3 linked regions of the Arabidopsis thaliana genome follow. The protein of the gene in region 1 interacts with the protein of each later gene in a pairwise test. Each region holds a gene or a part of one and is shown on either strand. Other genes may lie near its edges.

The links.
Region 2: the proteins of PGLCT (region 1) and ANNAT3 interact in a protein complementation assay, tested with the Arabidopsis thaliana proteins (one large-scale study listed by BioGRID).
Region 3: the proteins of PGLCT (region 1) and CAM4 interact in a protein complementation assay, tested with the Arabidopsis thaliana proteins (one large-scale study listed by BioGRID).

Annotation. Positions count from the first base shown.
Region 1 is NC_003076.8:5,270,647-5,276,373, forward strand, and holds PGLCT (plastidic GLC translocator), read left to right. Parts: upstream 1-1,829; 5' UTR 1,830-2,007; exon of another isoform or gene 2,008-2,248; 5' UTR 2,249-2,257; coding exon 2,258-2,513; intron 2,514-2,656; coding exon 2,657-2,771; intron 2,772-2,843; coding exon 2,844-2,911; intron 2,912-3,023; coding exon 3,024-3,156; intron 3,157-3,239; coding exon 3,240-3,339; intron 3,340-3,439; coding exon 3,440-3,552; intron 3,553-3,633; coding exon 3,634-3,727; intron 3,728-3,801; coding exon 3,802-3,955; intron 3,956-4,073; coding exon 4,074-4,220; intron 4,221-4,295; coding exon 4,296-4,369; intron 4,370-4,473; coding exon 4,474-4,562; intron 4,563-4,645; coding exon 4,646-4,760; intron 4,761-4,849; coding exon 4,850-5,032; 3' UTR 5,033-5,166; downstream 5,167-5,727. Other genes in the region: AT5G16140 (Peptidyl-tRNA hydrolase family protein), read right to left, coding at 76-149, 225-275, 365-432, 516-600, 680-871; AT5G16160 (uncharacterized protein), read right to left, coding at 5,167-5,209, 5,293-5,446, 5,527-5,590. UniProt on the Arabidopsis thaliana protein: May be involved in the efflux of glucose towards the cytosol.
Region 2 is NC_003071.7:16,199,131-16,203,185, forward strand, and holds ANNAT3 (annexin 3), read left to right. Parts: upstream 1-1,813; 5' UTR 1,814-1,955; coding exon 1,956-2,031; intron 2,032-2,121; coding exon 2,122-2,267; intron 2,268-2,342; coding exon 2,343-2,576; intron 2,577-2,666; coding exon 2,667-2,879; intron 2,880-2,970; coding exon 2,971-3,063; intron 3,064-3,156; coding exon 3,157-3,360; 3' UTR 3,361-3,539; downstream 3,540-4,055. Other genes in the region: EMB2765 (P-loop containing nucleoside triphosphate hydrolases superfamily protein), read right to left, coding at 4,055-4,055.
Region 3 is NC_003070.9:24,773,744-24,777,879, reverse strand, and holds CAM4 (calmodulin 4), read left to right. Parts: upstream 1-1,895; 5' UTR 1,896-2,094; coding exon 2,095-2,170; exon of another isoform or gene 2,171-2,338; coding exon 2,339-2,368; exon of another isoform or gene 2,369-3,075; coding exon 3,076-3,449; 3' UTR 3,450-3,620; downstream 3,621-4,136. Other genes in the region: AT1G66420 (DNA-binding storekeeper protein-related transcriptional regulator), read right to left, coding at 1-696.

The sequences.
Region 1 (5,727 bases):
TGTAACAGATATAAAAGGTGACATCAGTTAATATATCATAGAACACATTTAGATGTTCAAGAGGTATATTCATACCCGTTGTGATAGCCTTGACCTCCTTTCGGTTGAAGTCTCAAAACCCCATTTGGTAAAGCCATCTCATCGTAAATCTAGTAGAGAGAAACAAAAGTGTTCATATGGAACATAGTTCTGGATTCAAGGGATGCTTAAGTCAGTGACTTTACCATTAAAATGTGGCGCAATGGTACTCGATAGTGTGAAGCTAGAGATCCAACCTTTAAAACGACAACAGAACAGTTTCAGGTATGATGATTATTTGATCACGCAGCTGATCTTTGCAAAGTTATGAACAGAAAATACAAACCGATTCGCCGCTGAAGTTCATATAAGTCTGAGGTTTAGCCAACAAGATAGGTACATCTTCAATAGCACCTGTACTGATTCATACATAGAACCAAAAAGTCATCAGTTTTATTATTCTTCAAACCAAAGAACCAAAGCAAGAGAAGTAGAACCTATTCCGATTAGAGCTTTGGACTGTATAGTGTTCATCAACACCCCTTCTTTTCTAGCCAACACATCGATCATCTCGAAACCAACCTGAAAACAACACAAAGTTGTAGCATTGCCAAGATCAAATCCAGCAATTAAGTAAAAGAAAAAGATTGTGTATCATTACATTGTGTCTTGTTCCATGATACTTGTTTCCTGGATTGCCCAACCCAACGATAAGCCAAGGAGTGTACTCTACTTTGAATCTATCATCCTCACCACCAGAAGTAGATGAACAAACCCGAAACCTCTGTTTCCGGAAAACTGGCTTTTGCGTTTGAAAATGGTAAACACTTGGTGTATACGTTGGGCACAACATGGAACTGTTGTTGATTCAAAGACCTATTGAAATTGAAATGACTAGAAACTTTGAGATTCAATACTTGGAATATACATAAAGATAAAAGCTTTTCAGGATATAATGAAATTCGAAATCATATAACAACTGAGAATCAAAACTTAATGAAACCCATTAACAGAGATACAGCGCAGATAAAAAATAATTGAAGTGTAATCGAACAGAGGACTCAGCAAAATTTCTGGAGAATCAGAGATTAGCAATGAGCTACAAGGATTACACAAAAATGTATTTGTGGTTTATATTATGTTATAAATTTTCAGTAGAAGAAGGATAAGTGAGAAGGAAAATAGCTTACCTCTTCTTCTTCAGGATTTTTCGAAACAATTTCGGAATTTTCTTTTGCGAAGACGTTGGAACGAGATAGAAGTAGAACGATGAAATACTGAGACGAAGATGTTAGAAATTGGTCCCGTTTTGTATTAATGGGCTTACTAATATTAGCCCACAAAAATGATGGGTTAAATAATAGTGGCCCAAGTTACTATGATTTTTATACGTCACCGTTACTATGCTCAATGGCGGCACGTGAGTACTATTGAATAACACGTGCGGCTATATACGTCATCCAAAATCTAATCCAGAAAATCCAACGTTGCCAAATCGCCAATCCTGCGGCTCTTACGTAACTCTTTTACTTCTTTTTTTCTTACCCTTTTATCGACTAATTTATGTCGAATAATAATTGTAAATAATTTTCTCAATTTATAAACTCAAAAAAATTTCCTAATTAGTCCCGCCACTTAGTTCGATTTAGTTGATACTGGTTGATTTATTCAAATTTCCTAGCAAATATTACAAAATTACCAATCCAAAATTGAAAGTTGCATCACATGCATTAAATTTCATGATTTCTTTAAAATAAGAAATGAAAATACTCTATTTTCCGTATGGTTTTGGATAAATATGAATTATTACACAAAAATCCAAAACTAATAAGGAAACAAAATTGCATTATTTATTTTTTGGTGCGTTTTAATTTTTTTTTTTAAACGACAATAAGCTCCACAGTGAGTTCTTCTCAGCAATCACAATCTATCTGGTTTAAGCCCTCACTATCCTCTCTCTCAAATCGCGGAGTCTCCGAAGTTTCTCTGGTAATTTTCAAATCTGAAGTTTTGCTTTGGATATCACGATTTTTGTTAATCAGCCGCGATCGAGAAGAGCGTTTTTACTCTCTCGTTCGCATCAATGCAACATATTTCCCAATTTCGTGATGTTGCGTCTTCATCGTTCCTTACTTCTCTCTTTTTGAGTTCTGTTTGGTATAAATGCGATCCTTTTTTTTCCTTCCTTGCCTAATATTTCTCGTTTCCTTGCAATTACGGTTATAAAAAGTCAGACAAAATGCAGTCGTCAACGTATGCGGTTAAAGGAAACGCTGCGTTTGCGTTTCAGAGACGGACCTTCTCTTCTGACAGATCGACGACTTCTACCGGAATTCGCTTCGCTGGTTATAAGAGCTTAGCCACCACCGGGCCACTCTACTGTTCTGGTTCTGAAGCCATGGGAGCGACGCTTGCTCGTGCTGATAACGGGATCCAGAGCGTTATGAGTTTCTCTTCTGTCAAAGCTCGATCGGTCAGAGCTCAAGCCTCATCTGGTTCGTCTCTTCTAATGCTCTTCTATCTTTGTCTATCATTAGATTCTGTGATTGCTTACAAGTTCTTAAATACAATTTGAAGAATCTAATGTATAGTTTGGGATTTGGACTAATCATCTGATGGTTTGAGGAATGAAATGTAGATGGAGATGAAGAAGAAGCTATACCTCTGAGATCTGAAGGGAAAAGCTCTGGAACAGTTTTGCCTTTTGTTGGTGTTGCTTGTCTTGGTGCTATACTCTTTGGTTATCATCTCGGGTATGACTAAATACTACACTGTTTTTATCTTGGTGTGATCATGGATGATGATGTTCTATTGGACTGAATCAGGGTGGTTAATGGTGCTCTTGAATATCTTGCTAAGGATCTTGGGATCGCCGAAAATACTGTTTTGCAAGGCAAGTATATGATGATCCACTTCTTTACTCCTCCTGTCAACGGTAAAATGATTCGTGTTTTGATTAGTAGCCAAACTCATAATTGGTATTCTCTATGATTGGTGTTGAGCAGGATGGATTGTTAGTTCTCTGCTTGCTGGTGCTACGGTAGGTTCATTCACTGGAGGTGCATTAGCTGACAAATTTGGACGAACAAGAACTTTTCAATTGGATGCTATCCCGCTTGCCATTGGAGCTTTCTTATGGTAAATTTTCAAGCACTAAGCCATACCTATTGGTGAGACGTTAATTGATTTCTTAACGCATTGGTTCTTTTTTTATTGATTAGTGCAACAGCTCAGAGTGTGCAGACTATGATTGTGGGACGTCTGCTCGCTGGAATTGGAATTGGAATCTCATCAGCGATTGTACCACTTTACATATCTGAGGTTGTTTAAATACTGATTTTCATTATTTTTGCACTTTTAGCATAAGATGTTAGATTTGTTTATATGTTATGTCTCTGAAGCGTTTGATGATGGTTGTCAGATATCACCAACTGAAATCCGTGGAGCACTCGGATCTGTGAACCAGTTGTTCATCTGTATAGGAATACTTGCAGCCTTGATAGCTGGATTACCCCTTGCAGCAAACCCTCTATGGTATGTAACATCCCTTTTTTATTCATCATCTTTTATTTTGGGTTGCATACTGTGATAAGTTTTGATATCGTGGTCTTCTAGGTGGAGGACGATGTTTGGTGTTGCAGTTATCCCTTCCGTTCTATTGGCCATAGGAATGGCTTTTTCTCCAGAAAGCCCAAGGTGGCTCGTTCAGGTACTCTCAAGGAACAGATCTCAACACTTAAAATGAGATCAATTTTTGACAAGTCAAGGAAATCAATTTTGCAGCAAGGAAAAGTCTCTGAAGCTGAAAAGGCGATCAAAACTTTGTATGGTAAAGAAAGAGTGGTTGAACTAGTTCGCGACTTATCAGCCTCTGGCCAAGGTTCTTCTGAGCCGGAGGCAGGATGGTTTGATCTATTCAGCAGCCGCTACTGGAAAGGTATAGCAAGACTTGGTGGAGATACATTGTTTAGTTTGTAATAAAAGCTGACGGATTCCTTTCAAAGGTCATATCGGATTGATCAATTTACATAGTTTCTTGTCTGTTCTTGTTGTAGTTGTAAGCGTAGGTGCGGCTCTCTTCTTGTTTCAACAGTTAGCCGGGATAAACGCAGTTGTGTATTACTCCACATCGGTATTCCGTAGTGCGGGAATCCAATCAGATGTTGCAGCCAGTGCTCTCGTTGGAGCATCAAATGTCTTTGGTTCGTTTCCCCGTTATGTTCTCATTAAATTCCAAAAATAACCAAAAAAATAACACGATAAAAATCTGGTCGCAGGCACTGCTGTTGCTTCATCGTTGATGGATAAAATGGGAAGGAAAAGTCTTTTACTGACAAGCTTTGGTGGAATGGTACATGTTTTTATTAAAATTCTTAGCCATATTCGAAAATCTCAACCCTCATTAGTATTACCACAACAGGACTAACTTGGATTTTATGGTTTTGTATTGAAAAGGCTTTGTCAATGCTGTTACTCTCCTTGTCCTTCACATGGAAGGCTCTTGCTGCCTATTCTGGAACCCTTGCCGTTGTTGGAACTGTTCTGTAAGTCAATCTCCTCTTAACACTTCCTTATAGTCTCTCTGTATAGGACTTGACTGACTCTTATGCTCGGTTGTTTAAATCAGATATGTCCTGTCATTCTCACTTGGTGCTGGCCCGGTACCGGCTCTTCTTCTTCCAGAGATATTTGCATCCCGAATCAGAGCAAAAGCCGTCGCTCTTTCTCTCGGCATGCACTGGGTATATACATATATCTATAGGTTTTATGGGTTCAGAACAGAGTTTCTTCTCTCTGTTTCTAATGTTTTGTTTCTCTTTTGCCCTAACAGATATCAAACTTTGTGATCGGACTATACTTCTTAAGCGTTGTGACTAAATTCGGAATCAGCAGTGTCTACTTGGGTTTTGCTGGAGTCTGCGTCCTTGCGGTCCTCTACATTGCAGGAAACGTCGTCGAGACTAAAGGTCGATCACTGGAGGAAATAGAGCTTGCTCTTACATCTGGAGCTTGAAATTAAACAAAAGAAATCAGCAGAACAAAAACCAGTTTGTTTCATCATTTAGTTTGTGAGTCTTTCTCTAATCTGCTACTCTTAAATTGTACAATGGACGACGTTATCAATAACGAGAAATCTTTTCATGACCACTACATGTTGGCTTTCCTTTCCCACCTCTCCCTGGTATCTAGCCTGTTTCAAAACAAAAAAAGCATGGCATTAGCACGGTTTTCTCAATATGAAAAAGAATTCTAAAATTAGCGAAATAAGCTCACCCCCAAAACAGTTTTTGTGGCTTCTTCGGTACTGTGACTACTGTCTTGTTATGATTCTGTTCTTCTAAGGTAGAAGAAGAAGAAGAAGTTGGTTCTTTCAACTTTTTAGAGCTTTCGCCATCTTCGATCGCTTTACTCTGAGAATTCTTGCTCGCTGCATTTCAGTGTAGAGCTTTTAGTCTAGTGAATATGAACTGAGAATTCTCAAAAAAAGAGAGCTAAATATATATATACCTTTAGGTTTCTTCTTATGAATCTTTGCATTAGCTTTTATTTGCATACGTCTCTTGTGTAGCTCCTGTAATCTCAACACAACCAAAATGGCTTCAAATTCAAATTGCTATGTACATAGTAATTCGGTTGAAAGAAAAAAAAAAAAAACTGGATTGAACAGTTGATAGAAATTCGAATCAAGATGATTATACGAAGTCGTGC
Region 2 (4,055 bases), on another chromosome or scaffold:
GAATAGCTCAAATCTGAATTTGTCAATATTAAAGGCAACTAATCTCACTGAATCTTAAAACATATATAAAGATAATATCTACGAAATAGATAGTCTTTGGTGCCAAGAACAAGGTTTTTTTTTTGTTACTGCGAAACACACATGGACCTATTACAGAAAAATAATGGTTTGAATATCATGGGCAAAGGAGACAGCTTATCTCTTCTTCTCTGTTTTTTTTCTTCTCATTATGTCCAGACTGTCCCATTTCATAAATTATGCACACAATTGTAGTAGATGGCAAGCCTCAATCACATTTGTTTCGCATTATTGTGACTTGTGAGACTAATAATTAAGCTTCTATAATATATATATATATATATATATATATATATTCAACAAGTACTATCACATGTTTTTTTATAGATTATATATTGCTGAATATCTATCTGAATCTGACAATGAGATTTGAGAAGATTGTACAACCACTACATGTGTCGCTTAACCAAAATATAATTTGGTCAACCAATTAAGACCCGATTTATATAGTATATGAGAATTAGTATAAGCGATTTATACATCAAAACGTGTTTTGCACAACTTCCGCTGAAGCTGTTTAATTAGCATGTTCCTCATATATAGTTCAATTTTCCACAGCTCAAATGCCGCCAGCATATAACCCTTACGTCAAATTTCCTCATATTTTATTGTGTGTCATAAGACTTGCGTATATCCAATTATCCATACATGACACGATCGATACTGAAGAATATAATTTGAATATTAATCACGAGATAACTCACTCATTAAAATTTTAAAAAGTTTACAAGATTACGAGATACTCACTTATTGGCATTAAGAAAGTGTGAATCATTAATCAACTTACGTGTAGATTCCAGTACTTTCGCGCCAGGGTCGATTCACATTTGTTTACATTAGAGTGATCAGTTTTTAATCTACTACACACGAATTTTCCATCGAAGGATCAAAAAATTCTAGAGTATGATTATTTTAAAAAAGAAAAGATCACGTTTTACACGACGAGAGGACTAGCAATAATTTGGATCGAGGACAGCTGTGTTGAGCCGTATCATTTGCAAATCGCAATCTATTTATTTATTTGATTTGATTTGGTTATACTTAGACTTCACTCATAAGATCATCCCATCATGTTCCTAATCTTAAATGGTATTTCTATTTCGCACATGTCACAACTTAGACAGTTGACTAAATCATAACTTTATATTTAGGTTTTAAGTATTAAAAATATATCAAATTATATTATAAGTTTTGTAATCTCTTTTTGTTAGTTTAGCCTACCAAAAAAAAAAGAAATCTCTTTTTGTTAGTTCTTCTTGTCTTTTCGTAATCAACTACTATATAACCTATATATTTATTTATATAAAGACATTGTTAACTTCGTCATCAAAACCATTTATTTATTTGTCCATTTATTTGCTACCTTAGTTTATTTTTAGTACTATATGAAATATCATACATTTTATTTTATCTTAAATTAAATACGGTACAAGTTAAATTCCTCATTAAAACCATTGTACGTTGTTTTTAGTCCTGTTGTAATATCATTTATTTCATTGCAAGTTTGCAACCTTACAAAAAGTAAAAATATGAAAAGGTTATTTTGTGTTAATTGGAAATTATTACATAGTATGTAGGATATGAAAATAGGTTAGGAGAAAAGATGCTCCATAGAACTCATCAATACACACAACTAATATATGACCCTAATTTTAAATGTCCTCAAAACGAAAAATCTCGACAGAAATAGGCTAATTGCGTCATATTACAGTTTCGTCTTCGGGGGCATTTATGTCAAACACCATCCCCAGCTACATAATTACACCTCCTAAGTAAATAACTCCGCCTTGAGGAAAAAAAACTAAAACGGCTCTAAATTGAAAACAAAAGAAGAGAGAGAGAGAGAGAGACGAAGAAACAGAGAGATTCTCTCGAAAATGGCCACCATTAGAGTACCAAACGAAGTTCCTTCTCCAGCTCAGGATTCTGAAACTCTCAAACAAGCTATTCGCGGTACGTTACATCCATAGCCGCAAGCATTTGTTGTGTGATTCGATGCATTAAGACATAAATCTCTGAATGAAAGTTTTCTCATTCTTGTAGGATGGGGAACAGATGAGAAGGCGATTATACGAGTTTTAGGGCAAAGAGACCAGAGCCAGAGAAGGAAGATTAGAGAAAGTTTTAGAGAGATTTATGGCAAAGATCTTATCGATGTTCTATCCTCCGAACTGTCTGGTGATTTCATGGTAATTATTTCTCTAACATTTCTCAATCACGACTTGAGATTTTTTCTAAAAAGATGTGATTTGATTGAATTGCAGAAAGCTGTGGTTTCGTGGACGTATGATCCAGCAGAGAGAGACGCAAGGCTTGTGAACAAGATTTTGAACAAGGAGAAGAAGAAGAAAAGCTTAGAGAATTTGAAGGTTATAGTAGAGATCTCTTGCACGACTTCCCCAAACCATTTGATTGCTGTGAGGAAAGCTTATTGTTCACTCTTTGACTCTTCTCTTGAAGAACACATTGCTTCTTCTCTGCCTTTTCCTCTTGCAAAGGTCAGTCCTTTCTTCAAGATTAGATAAGACATTTTTTTGGTTTTGTTTGCCTTATGAGAAGCTCAAAATGTTGATTGTATGAAATTGCAGTTACTGGTGACATTGGCAAGTACATTCAGATATGACAAAGATAGGACTGATGCAGAAGTAGCTACTATTGAGGCGGCTATGCTACGTGAAGCCATAGAGAAGAAACAATTAGATCATGACCATGTCCTGTACATATTAGGAACGCGTAGTATCTATCAGCTCAGAGAAACTTTTGTTGCTTACAAGAAGAATTATGGGGTCACAATTGATAAGGTTCAGATTCTCATGGTTTGGTTTGGTGACTTTGGTCTCATGTGTTTGGTTTTCTTTTCTTGGATTATAACATGTTGTGTTGTATGGACAGGATGTTGATGGATGTCCAGGAGATGCTGATCTGAGAAGTCTATTGAAGGTGGCAATCTTTTGTATTGATACTCCTGAGAAACACTTTGCAAAGGTACTACACTAAACATTTGAGCAAGACTAGAGTCAAAAAGTATTTTGAAGGTGTTTTGTTTGTTCCTTAAGTTTTTGTGTTTTAATTTGGCAGGTGGTAAGAGATTCGATTGAGGGTTTTGGAACAGATGAGGATTCGTTGACGAGGGCGATTGTGACGCGTGCAGAGATCGATTTGATGAAAGTAAGAGGAGAGTATTTCAACATGTATAATACAAGCATGGACAATGCTATTACTGGTGATATTTCTGGAGACTACAAGGACTTCATTATCACCTTACTTGGATCCAAAATCTGATCGTTCTTTCGTTTCTTTGTCAGTTGTTATATTCTTGGCTTTGCTTGTGACTTGTATAATCAATCAATACATTGTATTCCAACTCCAGTTTGAATTGTTTAAAAAATAATCAAATTTCTCTTGATTCTTGCATTTTTGAATCAAAGCAAATCTATGTTTAATTTTGTTTTCAAAATTCGTTAAAAAAAAAAAAAAGACACGAGTAAAATACGGCTCACACAGATCATCATCACCTCTGCTTTGCTTTATTCTTGTATTTGAAGTGAAACGGCTAAGCGAATGTAAAAGACTGGTATACCCTTTTGTGTAACGACTATCCTCTCTGACTGGCTCAAGCTTGTTTTGGAGGATTTAAGACAGACCTATGTGTGGAGTGAATCCCAGCTCTGTCTCGACTTCCTTTCAAGTTACTTAACATTACTACTTTCATGGATAATATTGTCTCATATTACTTTGAAATCAGATACCAAAGAAGAAGGATAAACAAGCTTGAATACTCAACTAGAAGTTACAAAAAGTCGGTGAGGAAGGTCAGACAATGCTATTTTTTTCCTCATGTCATGTATCACTTACCAGAATTTACTCAAATGCAGTAAAATTATCTTACAGTAGCAAAAAAAATCCATGTTTCAAACATCAACTCACTTATCACCCTCCCGAAAGGATAACTTTGAAATTCCCAGTTTGTTTTGTCC
Region 3 (4,136 bases), on another chromosome or scaffold:
CATAGGCACAACATTCCATTTACGTTTAACCGAATCCACACCAAGACTCTCAATTGATGGAAGTAGAAACGAATTCTCAAACCAATCAGAGTTTGTCACATCTCCATCTTCTTCTTTAACTTTTTTACCTTTAGGTGAAGAGCACAAGTCCGTCTTCTTAGACGTTTCTTTAGTTCCCCAAATAGACATGGCCAGTTTGAAACATTTCTGTTCATGACCTTCAGAAAAACCGTTCTTCCTTTTCCTCGTATATTTCCTCTTCAATTGGCTAATCTTGCCAATGTATTGTTGCACACTAGCCTCGAAGCTAATGGAGTTCTTGACGAATTCTATAAACCCGTGTCTATCCTCAAACGGACTTTTCCCTGTAACATCTTCAAATTTAATAATTCCTTGTAGCATAACAATCTCATCTTCCTCACTCCACAGTCTTTGAAAATATGGGTTTTTTGTCCATTCTCCAACTTTCTTCTCATCTTCTGCTGAAACCTTCTTGGCTCTCTTCGAAGTCATGTCCGTTGAGGTCCCTTCACTCCGACGCTTCATCTCAGACGGTTGTACCTTGCCGGAGCCGCCACAAAACTCCTCATTCTTCTTGGAAGTTGCACCGGTCACAAGACCTGGAGGAAGATAAATAACATCATCTTCTTCATCTTCAAAACATGTCTCCAACGGCTTGAGATGCTTCTTTGACATATCAGAATCTTCAAACTACGATTTTGGTTGTGGTGTGTAATGAAAGCTTGGGGTTTGTTTAAGGCAACTACACGAATTTATAAATTAAAGAGCTTGTTGTTTCTCGGTAGATATAATGGCCAATAGGGTATAAGTTGCTTGCTTACTTTTCTAACTTCCAAAACCCATACAATGAACGATCTTTTTTCACATGAGCGTAATGATGATTTTTTCTTTTCCCAGTAAATTATTTTGAAATTAAGAAAACGAAAAAAAACGACTAAACCGAAAATAAATTTTGTCTGAATTGTTTTTGGTAAATAGGTTAGATCATCTCCATCGGTTACAATTTTGAGAGTTGCTTTTCACTAATATAATATAAACAATTCATAAAGGAGGAGAGAGAATAACATAATTACAGAAACGTTTCTGTGCAGAGAAATTTTGAAGTAATTAGACAACTGAAAAAAAGAAAAGAATATATTAATTACAAAATTAAGTCATAATAAAATATTAGTAATTTTTTTTTTTGAGAAACTTTGAAGGTTTCTTACCAATGGAGATGACCTTAGATATTCAACAGTTTATGTTTTCAATGTTCACACACATTGATGGAAAACATGCCATTACAAAAGATGTATATAGATAATTTTGAAATCAGTTAACATACCTATAAGTGTTCAAATGATAGTATTAGGTTAGTTAAAATGTTGGCTTAACTAATTTTGTTTTTAGTAAATCATAGATTTGGAGGTAAATTTTGTAGTCCCCGAGATTTAAAATAATAACAGATTTTAATCTTCATCTGAAGAAAATTGAACAGTTGTTTTGTTCCTATCTTTAGAAACTACTAGTTCAATCCTTTTTTTATTATACAGTAAGTAATGTCAACTTTTACTATAAGATTAGGTCTTTACTCTTTAGGATAAAACTGTTTTTAAGTAAACACAATTTTATTTTAAACTCAAAAGTAAATATTTGCTTTTCAGGGATGTCAAATAAAATGATGATCTGAATAATAAAACAATGGTAATTTTGGAAAACTTACAGCTTAAAACTTAAGTACTATTGTATTATTGAGGATTGTCTTATTTATCATTCAAAATTGAAAAATCATTACTTTTTAAATATGTAAATTGTTTTATTAAAACATTTTTAAGCCTTAATGTGTATCCAAGGGCCCTTTGGGCTTCCTCTCAAGTCCCACATCCACTAATCACATGATTAGCTAAAAACCCAACTAGTAAATTATTATTATTATCTTCCGTAAACATTTAATTTCGTTTTAACTTTTTCCTCATTGTCGTATAATTGTTTTTGTCGGTCGCTAAGATATTTTCACAGCTTCGGAGACTTCAGGAAAAAAAAAAATCATTTCTTCTCTGAAACGAAAAACCAAAGAAACGAGAAGAAGAAGCTATGGCGGATCAGCTAACTGATGAACAGATCTCTGAGTTTAAGGAAGCTTTTAGCCTCTTCGACAAAGATGGAGATGGTTAGTCTCAATCTCATCTTCTTCTTTTAAATCTCTCTTGATCGTTGTTAAAACCATAACGGATCTCATTTTTTCCGATTTCGTCTGCGATCAGCTTCAGATTCAGAAAATATTTGAGTCTGATTCTTTGATACGCTTTGGATTTGGTCTAATCTCTGGTTTTGCTAGATTCGATCTCTGATTCAGGTGATTCGTGTGGTGAATTGTTACTTCGTTGTTGATTGAATCGTTTGATTGTCTCTTTTGATGTAGTTTTGTTCCATCTCTAAGCATGGATTTGTGATTTTGATGTTTCTTTGAAGGTGACTTATATTGAAATGTTACTAGCTTTGTGCAGAATATCATGTTCCTGATTCTTGTTCTGAATCGTCTTTTTGTGTCATTCTTCTGTAGTTTAAGTAGGTATATTGCTATAGATTTCAGTTCAAAGATACTGTTTAGTTTTAGCACCTGTCATGCTTTTTCCATAGCCAAAGATATTCAGATTCTAGTGTTTTTATGAGATTCATTTAATGGTCATGTTTTTGGTTGATTAGTGGCTTTTTTTTGCTCAAAAACGTTTAAACAAAAGACCTGGTTTCATTCATGTTTCGTATGTATATCAATCTGACTTTGTTATGGGAATCTACTTGTAAGGTGGTATGTAGCTACAGGTTTAAGTTCTCTGATAATATTTAGTTTCGTATGAGAAGCAAACAGTCATGTATAGTCATGTATGTTTTAGAACAGATCATGAGTTTTCCATAATGAAAGATTCCAGAGTCTAGTGCTTTTTTTTTCTGGCATCCATTGATGGTCATGTGTTTAGCTGTTTGTTGGCTCTTGTAGCTTAAAAAAGTTTTATTGGAGACTTATTTATCACAAGACCTGGTTTTTATTCATGTTATCTTTTACTGATTGAACAGGTTGCATCACCACAAAGGAGCTGGGAACAGTGATGCGGTCACTAGGGCAGAACCCAACAGAAGCTGAGCTACAAGACATGATCAACGAGGTTGACGCTGATGGAAACGGAACCATTGACTTCCCTGAGTTCTTAAACCTAATGGCTAAAAAGATGAAGGACACAGACTCGGAGGAAGAGCTGAAAGAAGCTTTCAGGGTGTTCGACAAAGACCAGAACGGTTTCATATCCGCTGCAGAGCTTCGCCATGTGATGACGAATCTAGGTGAGAAACTGACTGATGAAGAGGTCGAGGAGATGATTCGTGAAGCAGATGTTGATGGAGATGGTCAGATAAACTACGAGGAGTTTGTCAAGATTATGATGGCTAAGTGATGATGATAAGAAAAAAATGAAGAATAAAAGTGGTGATGTGATGACCTTTTAGGCTTTTACTATCTACAAAAGAATGATTCGACCTTTAATGTCTTGGGTTTGATTTGAGCCTAGTAGTTTCTTAAGGTTTTAACAGACTGAATTTGTGACTTATCTTTTTTTATTTTGTTGGTTTCTTTCTCGTTGGCATAATGGCATGTTTAGATTTCGGTAACTAGAGTGGTCGCAAAGCTTTTACTATGCAAAAAGTTTACTTAACAAGCCTAAGAAGACTCGATAGTTTGTTGCAAAACTCATACATCGAGATAGAGTGAATACAGAAAGAGAAGCAAAATCAAGTGTAAAACAACCATGGGGTGTTATAAGCCCATTTATAGGCTAAACTCCCATATAAAGAGTCGGACACAAATAACCGACCTAAATTCGAAGGAACCGAATTGAACCAGAACCGACATGAATACTCGAATGGGTCCTAAACTGTTACATTCGAAGATCCAATATCAAATCCCAGCCATCCGAATCAAGAACCGAATGGGTATCCCAAAAAAACTGAAATACAAGTATATACCCAAAAATATAGTTATATTTACACTTGTAGTCATTCAAATACCCAAAATTACAATGATAAACTTGAATATACTCCCTTGTCAATACGAGAGGTCAAAGAAGATGATGTTACCAAAAAAA